2 linked regions of the Caenorhabditis elegans genome follow. The protein of the gene in region 2 interacts with the protein of the main gene of each other region in a pairwise test. Each region holds a gene or a part of one and is shown on either strand. Other genes may lie near its edges.

Region 1 (7,337 bases), on a different chromosome or scaffold from region 2:
CTTAGGCATAGGCATAGGCTTAGGCTTAGGTTTAGGTTTAGTCTTAGGCCTAGGCTTAGGCCTAGGCTTAGGCCTAGGCTTAGGCCTAGGATCAGGCTTAGGCTTAGGCTCAGGCTTAAGCTTAGGCTAAGGCTCAGTCTTAGGCTTAGGTTTAGGCTTAAGCTTTGGCTTTTGCTTAGGCTCAGGTTTAGGCTTAGGCTTAGGCGTAGGCTTGGGCTTGGGCTTAGGCTTAGTCTTAGGCTTAGGCTTAGGCTTAGGCTTAAGCTTAGGCTCAGGCTTAGGCTTAGGCTTATGCGTAGGCTTGGGCTTAGGCTTAGGCCTAAGCTTAGGCTTAGGCTTAGACTTATGCTTCGGATTAGGCCGAGGTTGGGCGAGGAGAGGATGAGAGAAAAAAGAAATTCCAGAAAAATCAAGAATTTTGATTACAAAAAGGAAACAATTTTTTTAAAATTGGACAAATATAAACGTAGCTAAAAATAAGCCTGAACGGGCCCAGTCAAGAAGGTCATTTTTGGACGGTGCCTTAAAAAATCATAGGAAAACATATATTGACCTAGAAAAAAGCCAAGTCAATCTCGATTTTTCCCGAAAAAAACACCGAAATACGATCCATTTCCTTTCCCAGTCAGCTCAATTAGTGAACTAATGCGGGGCCGATTAGAAGGATTTCGAATAAAAATGCTCCAAACCGAGAGGCTCAAGAGAGGAGGGGGGGCTCAAGTTTCATTGTTTGTCTCGCTTTTTGTTTGGGTGGTGGATAGGGGGAAACGAACGGTCTTCGGGGCGAGTGAAAGTGTTTCACTTTTTAAAAAGGGAGGTGGTCTGTCATATGTGTGTGTGTGCTTTTCACTTTGTGTGTGCATATGCCATCAATTGAACACATTATTGCAAAAATATGAAACTTTTATGTGGGAGAATTTGGCGGGGAATTCGAAAGTAGTACTGTATTGATTTGAAAAATTCAAATATCATCCGAATCAGTGCCACATGACCGAGCACGCCTGGCAACATTCACACGTCCTTCATGCTCCCCTAATTAAGCTGCACATCCAACAACCTTGAGACGTTTTCACCATCCCCGTTAGATTTTCAAATTCAAGGACAAAATGGTGATGGTGGAGGAGGCGCGCACTTTTTAACTTGAGATGACGACGATGATTATCTGACACTGTCCATTCAGATCTTCATCCGTTTTGCAGAATGTGATTGGGGACGATTGAAATTGGCTTGGGAGGGAAATTTGATTTACTTTTGGGGAAAGAGGGTACTGTAAAGGTCTGAGAGTGTTACTAAGAGTCTATGAGCGACTTAGAGACTGCCGGTGCGGTAGCGGTGCGGTAGCGGGGCGGTAGCGGGGCGAAAGCGGGGCGGTAGCGGTGCGGTAGCGGGGCGGTAGCGGGCCGTTTTTTTTCCGATTTTTCAATTTTCGGGGGGCAAACAGCAGAAATTGCACTTTTTCGAGCAAAAGTTTTCGTTTTTCGGTTTTTCTATAAAAAAAACCGAAGCCCGGCAGGACTGGACGTTCACAGGATATTGCTCTTTTTCCCCCAACCCAAGTAGATCAAAACCCCTAATGTCCCTTTAACCTATTCCATACAAAATTAGGTCCAATCTCATAAAATTCCTTATTCATCACGTCAATTCCACCACTCAATCACCGTCTTCTTTATTTGAGAGCGGTTCCACCTCATTTCAGACGAAGAGGGCAGAGAAGACAATATATATATATATATATATATATAAAGAAATGAACACATAACATAGTACGACTACTGGAAAAATGAAACACAATTGTAGATTCAGGTTGCAGCAGCAGCAGCAGAAGAATAGGCATGGAAATGGCCAATTAGTACGGGATGGACCCCGATAGTGTGAGGGTGGACGGGGGAGACGCAGAGAAAACCAGTCATCGGGGGATACTGGGATTACCTTTTGCCGTGAAAAAAAGAGGATTGTACAGGCAACCGGGGGCAATCCCATTGTTATCCACCTAATCCTATTTGCCACCATTAAAATGCGCTTCGTGTTCCGAAGTGGGGGGGGGGGGGGGGGAATTCGAAACTTTTGAAACTTTTTAGAGTGGCCGATGATGGAGAAAATTCGGCCACCAATTTCAGGATTTTTATATGTTTTAGAACATTCAAAAAAATTGCTGAAACTGCCAAAAAATTTAATTTTATAAAAATTGATTTTTTTTCACACTTATTTATTTTTAAATTACCGAAATTTCAAAAAATTCCATTTTTTCAAACTTCATTACTTTCTAAATTTTTAGGATTTTTTAAACGAATTTTTAAAACAATACTCTGGAATTATTTATTTTTTTGGAATTTTTTTTTAATTTTTTTTTTTTATTTTCAAAAATTTTTCCGGTTTTTCAATTTTCACAGAATTTTTTTTTTAATTTTTAAATACATTAAACTTTTTCACGTGGTGTCCGAGTGTCTCATTTCGGTTTGATCTACATATTTCTACAAAAAAAGCGGGAGAAGAGACGCGAAGAGTTCTCAACTGATTTTGCATGGTTAAGAATGTGCTGACGTCACATTTTTTGGGCGAAAAATTCCCGCATTTTTGTAGATCAAGCCGTAATGGGGGGCAGCCTGGCACCACCACTTGTTTTTGAATTTCCAACACAATTTTAAAATATTTTGAAATAAATCAAAATCGATTCGGAATTTTTTTTTTTTGAATTAAAAAATTTGTTTCAAATAATCGATATCCTATTTTTCAATTCTCAGTACATTTTTAGCATACAAACGATAAAATTTAAGAAAAAAAAGTCAAAAACCAACCATTTCAGTCTTGAAAGTGGCTCCTCGGACCTTCGCTCCGTCATATTCCTGGCTCCGCCCACTTTCCACGTGCCAAATGCAACCGATCTGAAAGTTTAAAATTTTTTGGAACTATTTTTCAACTTTTAAGATGTTTTCTTTGGCTTCAAAATAGTACATTTTACATGTTTTTCTGCAAATTTCCCCATGCCGCAACCCTAAAAAACTAACCCTTTTGCCTTCATAAAACATATTGGATTGCGAAATACTCCAAACATGCCAACGTGGATTCGGAAAACTGTTTTTGTCGGAAAGTATCAGAGTTGGAAATGAGGAAAATACGTTAGAATATTATTATTTTGATTTTTCCAACAAAAAATATTTTTAAAAAAATCAGTTTTAAGAAAACTTGAAACGTTGGATTTCACGTCGAGAAATGAAAGAATTATAGGCATTTTATATAATAACAAAAAAGAAAATTAGTTTCGAGAACTGTCATGCCATTTGGGTGGCTAAATGGAAATTGGGAGAAATCGGGAGAGAACCTGAATTGGCAGTTTGCCTCCAACTGTATGTCTATAAGAAGGTATATGTCTACAAATTGTCTACCTACCTGCCTACAAGGTGACCTACGCCTACCTACAAGGCGGCCTGCGCCTACACATATTCCTGATTATATTCAGTGTTAGTTGAACAGATATTTGAAAAATAATATTTAATTGGAAAGTTGAGAAATGTGCAAAAACTAGGCGGTAGGTAGGAAGGCATAGGTAGGCCTGCGACATACGCCTACCTACAAGGCGGCTTGTACCTACACCTTGCCTACACTCTTGCCTACTTACAAATCATTCCTGATTATATTTAGTGTTAGTTGAACAGGTATTTAAACAAAACATTTAATTGGAAAGTTTACGAATGTTCAGAAACTAGGTGGTAGGCAGGCAGGCATGAACAGGCAGTATATACCTCATAGGCAGGCCTACACTCGTCCCTACTTCCTGGTCCCTTTTTTCTCACTGTTTCAGTGTTGAACATTCAAAAAATTACTTCAACTGAAAGGCAGGCATGAGGTAGGCACGTAGGCATGTAACAAAAAATTTTAAAGTTAGAATATTATTGTCATTAAACAAGTAATAGTTCTATATAATATCTTTTTCAATTTAAAAATTGTGCGATTTTTCGAAATATTGTTGATTTTGCCCGATTTGAGCACCATTACTACTTATACTACTAATATCTCAGCTCATTTTGAAAATATCAATAAACTTTTAATTACAAAAATATAGACAATTGTTAAATAAATCTTTTCTTAGTTGACAATTTTTTGATAAAACCAAAACCAACCGAGATATGAACCGGCAAAGTTAGGCTAATCGAACATATTTTCTACCTGAAAAAAAACTACCCAATTTCAAACCAGCAAATTTCCAAAATGGTTAGGAATATTAAAAAGCTGCCAACTGACGTATTTTTCAGAAATTTTTGGGCAACATTTTTAGTTGACAATTTTTTGTGAAAATTTGGAACAACCGAGATATCAGCCGGTAAAATTGAGCTAATTTTTATAAATTTTTAAAAATATTTAAATTTTGCCCAATTCTCACCTGTACTGCCGACGAGCATTGAGCGTTGCCGTCGAGCCCATCATATAGGCGTCAGGCATTTTGTGTGAGTCCCAGGCGTGTGTTTGTAGACGTCAATAGTTCAAATAATTCTGAAAATCATCATTGCAGAAAATTTTAAAAAAAACGAAGCGTATTGGGAGAAAAGGTGAATAGGGTAAAACGAGAGAGTGAATGAATAGAATGGAACGTAAATATATGAGAATAAGAAGAATGGGGCGAGAGAAAGTGTATGTATGAAGAAGCTGAAAGAGGTCACAATATTATGTAGTAGTAGTAGTACTATACCAGAATTTTTGGGTGGTGGCCGAAAAAACCAAAACTCGGCCACCATTTCAAATAGAGTCGGGGTAGGAAAATTTCAAAAATCCTATTATTCTAATAAGCTTGCTAATTTTTTCTGGCTTTTTTTTAAATAGAAATATAGAAAAATATCGGCTGGAGTTTAAATTTTCTGAGAAAAATTTTTGGCGGGAATTTTAATTTTCTGATAAAACCAATTTTGGCGGAAAATTCAAACGACTGGTTTATCTATATTTTTATATAAATTTTAAACAATAAAAATCGACTTAACAATGAGAAAAAGGCGAAGAAAGTGAGGGAAAAATAAATTTTTCAAAAAAAAAGTAAACTTGCGGGAAGAATCATAACTCGGGTCATTTTTTAGATATACAATTTTTTCAATCACAAATACAAAATACATATGAGTCCAAAATTGCATGCATTTTAGTACTCCTCATCTCAAAATCTAACTATAATAGTGGCGGTGGTCATCTCTTTCAAATATCACCCACCCCACTCGAAAGCCCTGGTAATGTGAGAAGCGCGCGAAATTCGAATCTCGCCAATCTGTGATGAGCTGAGACTATATAGTGATGGTGTGGCCGAGTTTTTCAAAAAGGGAGCAGTTTTGTATGTCAAATTTAGTAAAAAATTCCCGAAAACTAGGAACACGGCGGCGGAAGCAGTAAATGATATCGGAAAACGAACAAATAGTTCGTCTTCATCATCAATATGTGTGTGTGTGTGGTGGTGGCAAAATGACATATGTCAACATGGAAAGTGCTTGTTCTTCTCATAAAACTATCGAGACAAATGGCACATGGCGGTCGTGGTGCGGGTCGGCGATAAAAGATGTACCCTCAGGAAATTTGAGCGGAATTTATGCGACAAAGCTTGATAGAACAAGACGCATATGAAAATGAAAAAGTTAATAAAGCAGCCGACACCTCACGGGCGGTAGCGGGAGGTAGCGGGCGGTAGCGGGCGGTAGCGGGCGGTAGCGGGCGGTAGCGGGCGGTAGCGGGCGGTAGCGGGCGGTAGCGGGCGGTAGCGGGCGGTAGCGGGCGGTAGCGGGCGGTAGCGGGCGGTAGCGGGCGGTAGCGGGCGGTAGCGGGCGGTAGCGGGCGGTAGCGGGCGGTAGCGGGCGGTAGCGGTGCTGTAGCAGGGCGGTAGCGGTGCTGTAGCAGGCCGGTAGCGGGCATCAGCAGGCGGTGGCGGGCGGTAGCGGAGTTTTTGTAAAAGCCAGTAAAGTGTCCGCTGCAAATCGTGTTTTCCACGCTGCGGCCGACATCTCACGGGTACAGGGATATCCATAATTTGAACCACCTATTTCTCAGTAACCATGGGAGCTATCAAAAAATTGCCAACTAGCAAAATATTGCCTAAAAAATTGGAAAATTGGTTTCAATTTGCCAGTTAACAAGTTTTTCATAATTTTCAAAACTAAAGAGATATAAATGTTTCAATTGTTTCACCTAAAATCTCAAATTTTTGCCGTAAAACCGTCATAACTCTACTGGTTTTGACGATATAAAAAATTTATCAACTAACAATTTGTAGCCCAAACATTTTCCTACAATTTACTATTTAACAAATTTCTGCTCAAGTGCGTGTCCGCTGAGATACATCAGTTTTGCTTGGGGAGGCAAGGGGTGAACCTCGTAAAACCGGCGGGCGGGGAATAAAAGGGAAGAAACAGATGATAAGGTCATTGAGCATCTGCATGTGCAAGGTTGGATCAAATTTCTCGAGAAGGGGAAAAAGATCAAAAGATTTCGGAGAGTGTACTCCTTTTGGACAATAGTAAAAGCTCAACTCAAAATTGGATCATCCGTTTACGTCCTAGTACAATGGCTCAAATCGCAGCTAATTTGGGAACAACTTTGTAGATTGTAGGGTGTGAAAAATAAGTAAAAATATTGAAATTGAGAACATGAAAAAGAAAATTGAAAAGAGGGGGTACAAGGATTTCAATGTGTACGTGTGTGTAATCCAATCAAGATGTGAGAGCAAGAAAAAGCAAAAGCTTGATGATAGGAGAGGAGGAAGAAGAAGAAGATTTTTGATGTTGTCCACCACCACCACCACCCCATCGCGCAGGTGTCAATCCTGCCATTACACCGGGGGAGGGGAGCCAGCAGAAGTGTTTCTTTTTGTCAATGGGGTTCCAGTGATTTATTGTGCAGGGGGGTTTTTTGAGAGTAGCACCTGATACTGGAAGTTAAGCCTGGTTTTTGTCGGCTGTTGGCTTTATACTGCTCCTATAGCTCTGCTACAGAAGCCTGAGCAAATCTCACAATGACATGGTGCATCGATCAGAATGGGTTTGGTATCAGTTTTGAGGGAGGGTGCGGGAGAAGATAGATGTACATAGTAACACCTGATACTAAAAGTGAAGCCTCGTTTTTGTCGGTTGCTGGCCAAATAGTGCTCCTTTAGCTCTCTGCTACAGGAATCCTACCGCTAACCCCCTTATGTCATGGTGCATCGATCAGAAAGGGTTTGGTGTCAGCCTTGATTTTGTCGGCTGCTATATTTCTAGTTCTACCTGTATACCCCTACCGAGTTACCCCAGTTCCTGAAACTACAGTAATCTGGCAGCACCCTTAAATTGTAGCTATCTCCCAGAAAAACTGTAAAATCAAAAATGACAGGAAAT
Region 2 (8,185 bases):
TTATACACTTATCTAAAAAAAATTGAGTATTTTAAAATATTTTAAACTTTGTTAGTGTATACAACTGGTAGAAAATTTTGTGCAAAGGTGCCTAGTTTCCTACCTTATAAATTTTCTTAGATAAAACAGACAAAATAAAATAATATTTTACAGCAATTCAAAGTTTTCCAATCATTATTGAATGAGAACAGGTGAAAATCACAAAATCGAAAAAAAGCACCTGGAAGCATACAATCATTCCAGTAACTTTCAACGTTTCCAAGAAATTATTACAGGTGATATATGTTGAAGTTGGAAGGCATCGATCACAGACCACATGCGATTGTTGAAACGATAAACATGATCAATTAGTAAACCTTTCTAAAACCTTTAAACACTGAAATGGTATTTTTCTATTAGTGTTAATTCCGACTGATTTACTTTGAGGTGAATATCTCACTTTAATGTTATCATGTAAACTACAAACAGTTAAAAAAAAACTAGCACATATTTTGATAATTCACAAGTTTTCAATAGAACAAACAACAAATGAGGTGTAAGATGTCAAATTTGAAAAATTGGGGGCAATACTAATAAAAAATAAGGTATTATAAAAACCGAGAAGAAACATAAAAATGTTTAATAACGTCACTTGTCAGGCATGTCTGGGTAATAAAATCAAATTCAGTTCAAAATTTTAACCGGAAAAGTTAACTTCCAACTCATCGAGCTTGAGGTCAAAACCTAAAAGGTAAAACTAGACTAGATTTCTATAAACCTAGATTTCTATGTTACTTTAAATGATAATTCTAGGAGTTATAGTCCGGAAAAAAGAAAATCTTGAGAAGGCTGTCAATAATGAAATTTTAATTAAAGATATCTACAAGGATTTCGAAAGTAGAATGCTAGTCAAGAATTTTTCATTTCAAGATGAACTTCCACACTGGAAAAAAAGAGGCTAAAACATTATTTTTCAAAAAACAAATTGCTTTACGATTCGGTATTTGGAATGTAAGATCACGGGTCAAAATAAAGTTCCAACCGGAAAAATTCAATTTCCAGTCCATAGAATTTGAGGACAAATCCCAGAGAACGTGTTACGACTAGACTCAAAAAAAGTAATAATAAATTTTGAGTGGCGAAGGAAAAGTGAAAAAAAAAGTTTTTCTTGATGAAGTATAAAAAGCATACACACAAAAAAATAAGAAAATAGAGAAAAGTGGGACCCTGATGATTTCAAAAGAGAAAAAAGGGGAAGAAAGGAAAAAAGAAGGGGGAAAGGTTGAAGAAGGGTAGGGGGTCGCCAGATGCAGACAAATTTGGTTTTGAATAATTTTGACTCTTTCTCTCTCTCTGTGCATTGCTTTTTGCTACTTTGCAGCCTCTTTCCAACAATAGGTACATCATGTGAAGAGAGTGTGTGAGAATATGTGTGTGGGTCCCCTTCCGAAATTTCACCGACCAATCCCACGTCATTTTTCGTTTTTCTGCTCATGCTTCATCTTTTTGTTCAAAACCAAAACCAAAATCCAAACACCTCCACGGTGGTATTCAACTTTTTCAAACAACAAAATTAGTTCCACTTTGATACGCTATGGCTAACAAATTTTTAGCACTGTTGCGTTTCGGTAAAAAGACCATTGCATTTACTAACCTGTAAGTTAACTGAACAATGTTGAAATCTTCTGAAAACCTGCTCATAGAAGAACCTTAGAACCACAGTAATTAACTTGTAATTTTGAACAAAAAAAAACAACAAGAGCTAATGTTTTTCCTTTATTCAGAACCTTTATCTGAACAGCTTCTACAGCAAACAACTTACACAAATAAGAAATTGGAAATTTAAATTTTCAAAAATTCGATCTGCCATAGACCTTATGAGTTTTGTTTAACTTTAAAAAAACTTGTAACAATTTATAGCTCGTCGAGATATGGGACGAGTGATGTGCTTCCATATGCAGCCAACGAGAGTTTTCCATTGACACGGGACAAGGCCTGCAAAAAATGTGCATTTTTTCATTGAACTCTACCAGCTGCATTAGAGTTTTAGTGTTTCAAAACGAGAGTGGAGAATTCAATTAGTGAAATTGATACTTTGAATGCATACACATACGCACTCATAAATGTTTGATGAATTGCAAATTGAAAGCAGTGTTTTTTATTGAAGCCTAAATCGCTTGCAGTTGCAGATAGTGCGAAACAAACCTGGGTGACGTCTTGGGCAGTGACTGCGCGGATAGCGTCGGCGAATTCGCGTGGAGACACCTCTACTCCGGCAAGCACTTGAGTTGCCTTCTCCAATGCGACTTCAGATGCGTGTTGAGCGTCGGAAAGAACCTGGAACAGAAATAATTAATACAAATTTCTATGCTGACTTCTATCATATATTTCCATATTTCAGTCATAACATATCCCATATTTGAAAGTTCGGATCACGATTTTCAGTGTTTAATATCTCAGCAACGACTCTTACTTGAACGGCCGCCGTGTTCTTGGCGTTGTCAAGACCATCGGCTTTTGCAGACTTGATGGCAGAGGCAATAGACTTGGTGACTTGAGTAATCTGTGTGTTGCAGGCAGCGAATTGAACTCCGACGAGTCCGGAATCCTGGTAGTTGACATTTACGGAAATAGCCTCTGATGTGACTTTTTGAGCGGCGTTCAGAAGAATCTGGGCGACTACGGCTTGGACAGCAACATCCTTGACAGATGTGATGGCGGATCCTTCTCCGGCAATGGCAACGTATGAGCGATTTCCACGACCATCCCTAAATTAAATTTGATAATTTACTTTTGTAAGGTTTGTTTGTAAGCAAGGCAAAAAAAAATTCTCACTTGCGGGCTTCTCCTCCAAAATATTTAGCTGGGGTAGCCTTGGCGGGCTGGTTCTGGGCCAGTGGGAATTGTGTGCTTCCGGCCTGGACCAGAGTGTCATGATCGACGTTGACACCGACCAGAACAGCTTCACCGGCAACGAGTCGTTCCTTCTGAAAAAGAAAATATTGGGTTGAAAATTGATTTGATATGTATATCAAAAACAATAGAATAGGTATACCCAACGTAATTTTTTATTAGTGGCAGTTTGCCCAATCAACTGGAAAAAACACGGAAGTCCGTCTTGTGTAAGCTCAAACTTTGAAATTCGTCAGTAACCTTTCAATTTTTCCGCTGCGGCCTACGATTTTTCTAAGCAACAAAAGGTTTGGAGTCGAGCAACATCAGGAGTTTGTACACCGCCAAATTTTCGAAACGTTTTCAGATTCTTTCAGAAATTAATTATTGGAAATTATTTTAATACATGCCGTTTTTAATCATTTTCAATACTATGAGCAACTTTAAAGTCACTTTAAAAAATCATTGCACAATTTGCCACAAGCTCCAAGTTTTCAATTTAAAACTCACAGCAAAAGCAGACAAGTCCTTGGCAGAGACGTTGTTGACGCTGTAGTTCGAAAGTCCGAGTCCTCCATTTCTGAAGGCAGCCTGGTGAAGTTGCTCGAAAGCGATGGTGGTTCCGGTGAGGTATGTGGCGTCAGCTGGAAGAGTGTCGTGCTTAACATCTTCAACATCCCATGGCTTGAAAGCATTATTTCCGAGCTGTCCGAGAAGTGAGAGGACCACTGCGGATTGGTCACGAACGACGTTGACTTCAATAGCGAGCACATCACGGTTGGAGACTGCGGTCTGGAATATTTTATTTTTACTAAATCAGTAACTTTAATACATATTTCCAACTCTAAAAGTAAGTAGTACTACAAACTCGTCATCATTAAAACAGCTGGTACAACTAAAAATGAAAAACATTACGATACCCTCACAGATAGTTAGGTCGCAATGCATTCTTTTAGTGGTTTTATTATATTTAATGAGCTCTTTTTATCTCAAAATACTCCCGCGTCTCCTTTTCTATCATTCACTTTCTCTCTTGCTCTTTTGAGTTCGTACCAAGTTTCCTCCATTCTGAGCTGTATTCCAGACAAGCGCCAACCCTGGGAAGTTTGGAGCATCGCGGCCAACACTGTTACGGATAAGGTGGGTAAGTCCTTGCTTGTTGGCTGGTTGGTAACGGCTTCCGGCGCGGAATGCCAAAACAATTGAAGAAGTGGCTCCTAAACAAAAAAAATGATTTTGTTAATTGATTTTTGCTATGCTTTGCTATATCCAACGCCCACATACCGTTTAGTTCAACGCTTGATACGCGGAGACCATTTTCCAAGACAGTTGTCTTCTCTTGAACTCCAGCAGATTTGGCTGCAGCCGAGACGAAGCGCTTCTGAATTTTTTTACTTTTTTGATTTGTTTTAATCGAAAAGTTCATATTTTTGCTCATAGAAATTCGGAATTAGTTTTTAGCTGGGTAAGAAAAAACTGCAATCTAGGCATTTATCAACTCTCACCAAGGCAGGCAGAACATTTCTTCTCAATTGAAATTCAGTTTTCTGAAAACGATTTTCAATTATATCGATGAAAATTTCCCACAAACATTTTTCGAATTAAATACTCACCGCAACAGTTCCAGATGGGCGCGACAGCATAATTGTAACCCTGAAAAAGCAATTTTTTTTTCTTGGAAAAAAGCGAAAATTAAAAAAAAATATGCAAAAATAATGTTTTCAGCAAGTTTTTATGAATTTTCACTAATTAATATTAATGGTTTTGGTATCATAAGAAAGATAATTAATTTTTCTATTTAAGTTTACAACATTTCTGATAAAATATAAAAAGTGAGCATTAATATAAGCTGAAAACAATTGGGCGGTCGATAAATACGTGCGTCTCAGCGGGATGCTTTGTCAATAGAGCGCGCTTGCAGACCTGCGGCCGCGGCCTAGCGAGAGTGTGACTAGCCCCCAAGTGTTCTGTAGTTGCTTGGAGTGTGACGTTTGCCAGTGGGTAATGAAAGACGCAAGGGAGTATATAAAATATTACGGGCGTGTTTCATAGTGTGACCATTGCGAAATTGAAACTTATTTCAAAGCGATAGTGTTTTGAGGCATTGAGTAATGCACTTGAAAGGTAATTGTTTATCATTTTTAAACTTTATTAGCAATTCATTAAACAATTTTCCACATTGTTTTCTTCCTATTTATATCAATAAATATGAGACACTGTGTTTTAGCAAACAATAATCTCAGTTCGATTGAGACTATGTTTTCTACAGTGCGTCCAACTTCTATAGCACCCCCCTCCAATTCGGCCGTTTGGAGCTTTTCAAAATATTTTCGGAAAAGTGTTAGTGCAGTTCGATAGCAAATGTTGAAAAACCTATGCACCCCAATTTTTATCATGATATCTCAAAAATCACGGAAATTAGGTCAAAATATCTGAAAAATGGCCGTCCAACTTCTATAGCACCCCCTCTGATTTTTGACAAATTTCTGTAAATTCGGGGTTTTCTTCGTAGTTAATGAATTTAGTTTGTAAATAACTTCACACCAAAATAATCAGGTGGTTTCACTTTCACATTTAAAAAATAAATATAACACTTGAAAACACGTGGAATGCCTGGGATTGTCCTGGAACGTTCTTATTTGCTTCAGAGGCCATATCTCGGCTCCCAATGATTTTCGCAGCACCAAAATTGATCAAAATGTTCTTCTCCGTCTATTCATTACTATGTAATTAGTTGTAGAAAGCATTTATTCATATGAACCAAATGGTAAAAGGAGCAACTTCAGTGGTTTTTAAAAGGTTCGATTTAACCATGACAACGAGCGTTCGGAGGCGCAGAGCTGAAGGTTTTGACTTCGTATTGTACAGAACTTCAGCTCATCCTGCTCAAATGTCTTTGAAGCTTCGATTTTAATTAGAAGTCTTTGAAAATTTATACGGAAAAGATCATGAGACCGCTCAAAAAAGAGGACAAAGGCAAAGCGAGGCCGCAAGTCTTTTTTTCAAGCTAACATGCGAAAATTTTAGACAGAAAAGTAAGATATACCTTTCCGAATGACGATTTTGCTAGTTGTATTTATAACTCAAGTTAAATTTAGCGAATTCGCTCATTGAATCTTTTTTTGGTCAAGTAATGCAAAAGCTACCAGACAAAACATTGAACCTGCGATTGTAGATGTCTGGCATCTGAGTTACCCATGGATTTCCACGGATTTGTTGTTCATATATAATAATTTTTAATTTTTGCTATAATGTAGTAATTTTTAGTTGAAAATGTATTCCCAACCATTATCTCTGCGCCTCCGAACGCTCGTTTTCATGGTTAAATCGAACCTTTTAAAAACCACTGAAGTTGCTCCATTTTCCATTTGGTTCATATGAATAAATGCTTTCTACAACTAATTACATAGTAATGAATAGACGGAGAAGAACATTTTGATCAATTTTGGTGCTGCGAAAATCATTGGGAGCCGAGATATGGCCTCTGAAGCAAATAAGAACGTTCCAGGACAATCCCAGGCATTCCACGTGTTTTCAAGTGTTATATTTATTTTTTAAATGTGAAAGTGAAACCACCTGATTATTTTGGTGTGAAGTTATTTACAAAATAAATTCATTAACTACGAAGAAAACCCCGAATTTACAGAAATTTGTCAAAAATCAGAGGGGGTGCTATAGAAGTTGGACGGCCATTTTTCAGATATTTTGACCTAATTTCCGTGATTTTTGAGATATCATGATAAAAATTGGGGAGCATAGGTTTTTCAACATTTGCTATCGAACTGCACTAACACTTTTCCAAAAAATATTTTGAAAAGCTCCAAACGGCCGAATTGGAGGGGGGTGCTATAGAAGTTGGACGCACTGTATGTAAGAATGTTTTTTTGAAACAGAACAATTCCACTATGGGGACCGAAAAAGTTGTCATTTTGGCAGTCGGGTCATTCAATCCTCCAACAAATGGACATCTTTGCATGATGGAGGTATTTTAGGTATATCATCAGTTAACGTTATAATTAAACAAATTTAGGATGCCAAGTACTCACTAGAAAAGTCAGGAAAAATAGTTCTCGAAGGAATTATGAGCCCAGTCAGTGATGGTTATGCGAAAAAGAGTTTGATCAGCGCTAAACATCGGTAGGTTAACTGTGTAATGCGACAATTCAAAAAAAGTTTATACACAAAAAAAACACAGAAAACAATATTTCCAAATTAATTGAGTTACTATGTTCGCAATAATATTTAATTCAGTTTTTTGAAATCAGAAAATAATATGTAATTTTATGTAACTGAACACAAAAATATAATTGCAGTCTTGCACAAACCGAAGCAGCAACTTATGATTCTGACTGGATTCATGCAAGTGGTTGGGAATGTGCCCAGTCTGAGTGGACTGCAACTGTTAATGTTCTGAAACATCATCAGCAGGATGTGAAGGCAAGTTTATTTCTTTTCGATAATCTTTGAAAAATACATCGCTCAAAATTTTTTCAAAAATATATTTCCCAGGAGTGTTTTTCAAGATGAGTGGGCAAATTTTGGAAACCATTACTATGTTGCTAGAAAAATTGATTGAATGTTTTTATTTACAGTTAAAAATGGAAAATACTCAGTTTTTCTTAGTCGACCAAACAAAATAGACTCATATGAGTATATCTAAATAAAATGCCACTTTTGATGATTCACTTTCCTTTTTAATTTAATAAGAGTTGGAAGATTTGAGGTTATTACGGTTTATTAAGGATAAACTAATAGGGAAAACACCGAGTTAATGGAACATGTAAGGAGGGGAAAATGGCAATAAGTAACACAAGTAAAAGGAATTAGAGAAGACCTCGAATGAGCGTTTCCGGCTCCTTATATAGGGGAATTGGGCGGGGCCAGGAACATTCCAGAATGATGACAATTGGAGTTGGCGCCGGCAATTCAGATCCGCGCGCCGTCCGGTGGGGCGCGCTTGCATCGTGACCTCCAAACGTTGGCAGGCCTAGTCGTTGTCTTGGGCAGCGGTTCTGGCCGGATAACCGTGATGTTATCCGCTACGACATCACTTGCTGGACCTGTAAGACTATACGGAAGTAATGCTCTTGTATGGCGGTGGGAAAGTACAAAGATCGTGAAGATTCTTACAATTTGCTAACATTTGACTCTAGTAAAATTGACAAACACGAATGAAAATGAAAATTCAACCGTTTTTCTTCTTTTAGAATTGAATTTTTTCTTTAGTTTAATTATGATTATATTAGAAGAAATAATGTATTTGCTTTTCTTATCAATTAATAATTACAGAATAAACTCGGAAGTGATGTGAATG

What was found. The genes of interacting proteins can lie anywhere in the genome.
Region 1: the proteins of ucr-2.1 (region 2) and ZK131.11 interact in a two-hybrid assay, tested with the Caenorhabditis elegans proteins (one large-scale study listed by BioGRID).

What each region holds. Positions count from the first base shown.
Region 1 is NC_003280.10:13,789,380-13,796,716, reverse strand, and holds the start of ZK131.11 (TORC_N domain-containing protein), read right to left. Parts: upstream 4,489-7,337; 5' UTR 4,438-4,488; coding exon 4,379-4,437; intron 2,883-4,378; coding exon 2,796-2,882; intron 1-2,795.
Region 2 is NC_003284.9:12,014,768-12,022,952, reverse strand, and holds ucr-2.1 (Peptidase_M16 domain-containing protein), read right to left. Parts: upstream 4,525-8,185; 5' UTR 4,515-4,524; coding exon 4,485-4,514; intron 4,419-4,484; coding exon 4,377-4,418; intron 4,253-4,376; coding exon 4,156-4,252; intron 4,089-4,155; coding exon 3,925-4,088; intron 3,664-3,924; coding exon 3,382-3,663; intron 2,967-3,381; coding exon 2,815-2,966; intron 2,748-2,814; coding exon 2,453-2,747; intron 2,317-2,452; coding exon 2,185-2,316; intron 1,975-2,184; coding exon 1,894-1,974; 3' UTR 1,747-1,893; downstream 1-1,746. Other genes in the region: nmat-1 (Nicotinamide-nucleotide adenylyltransferase), read left to right, coding at 6,777-6,854, 6,902-7,008, 7,185-7,308, 8,161-8,185.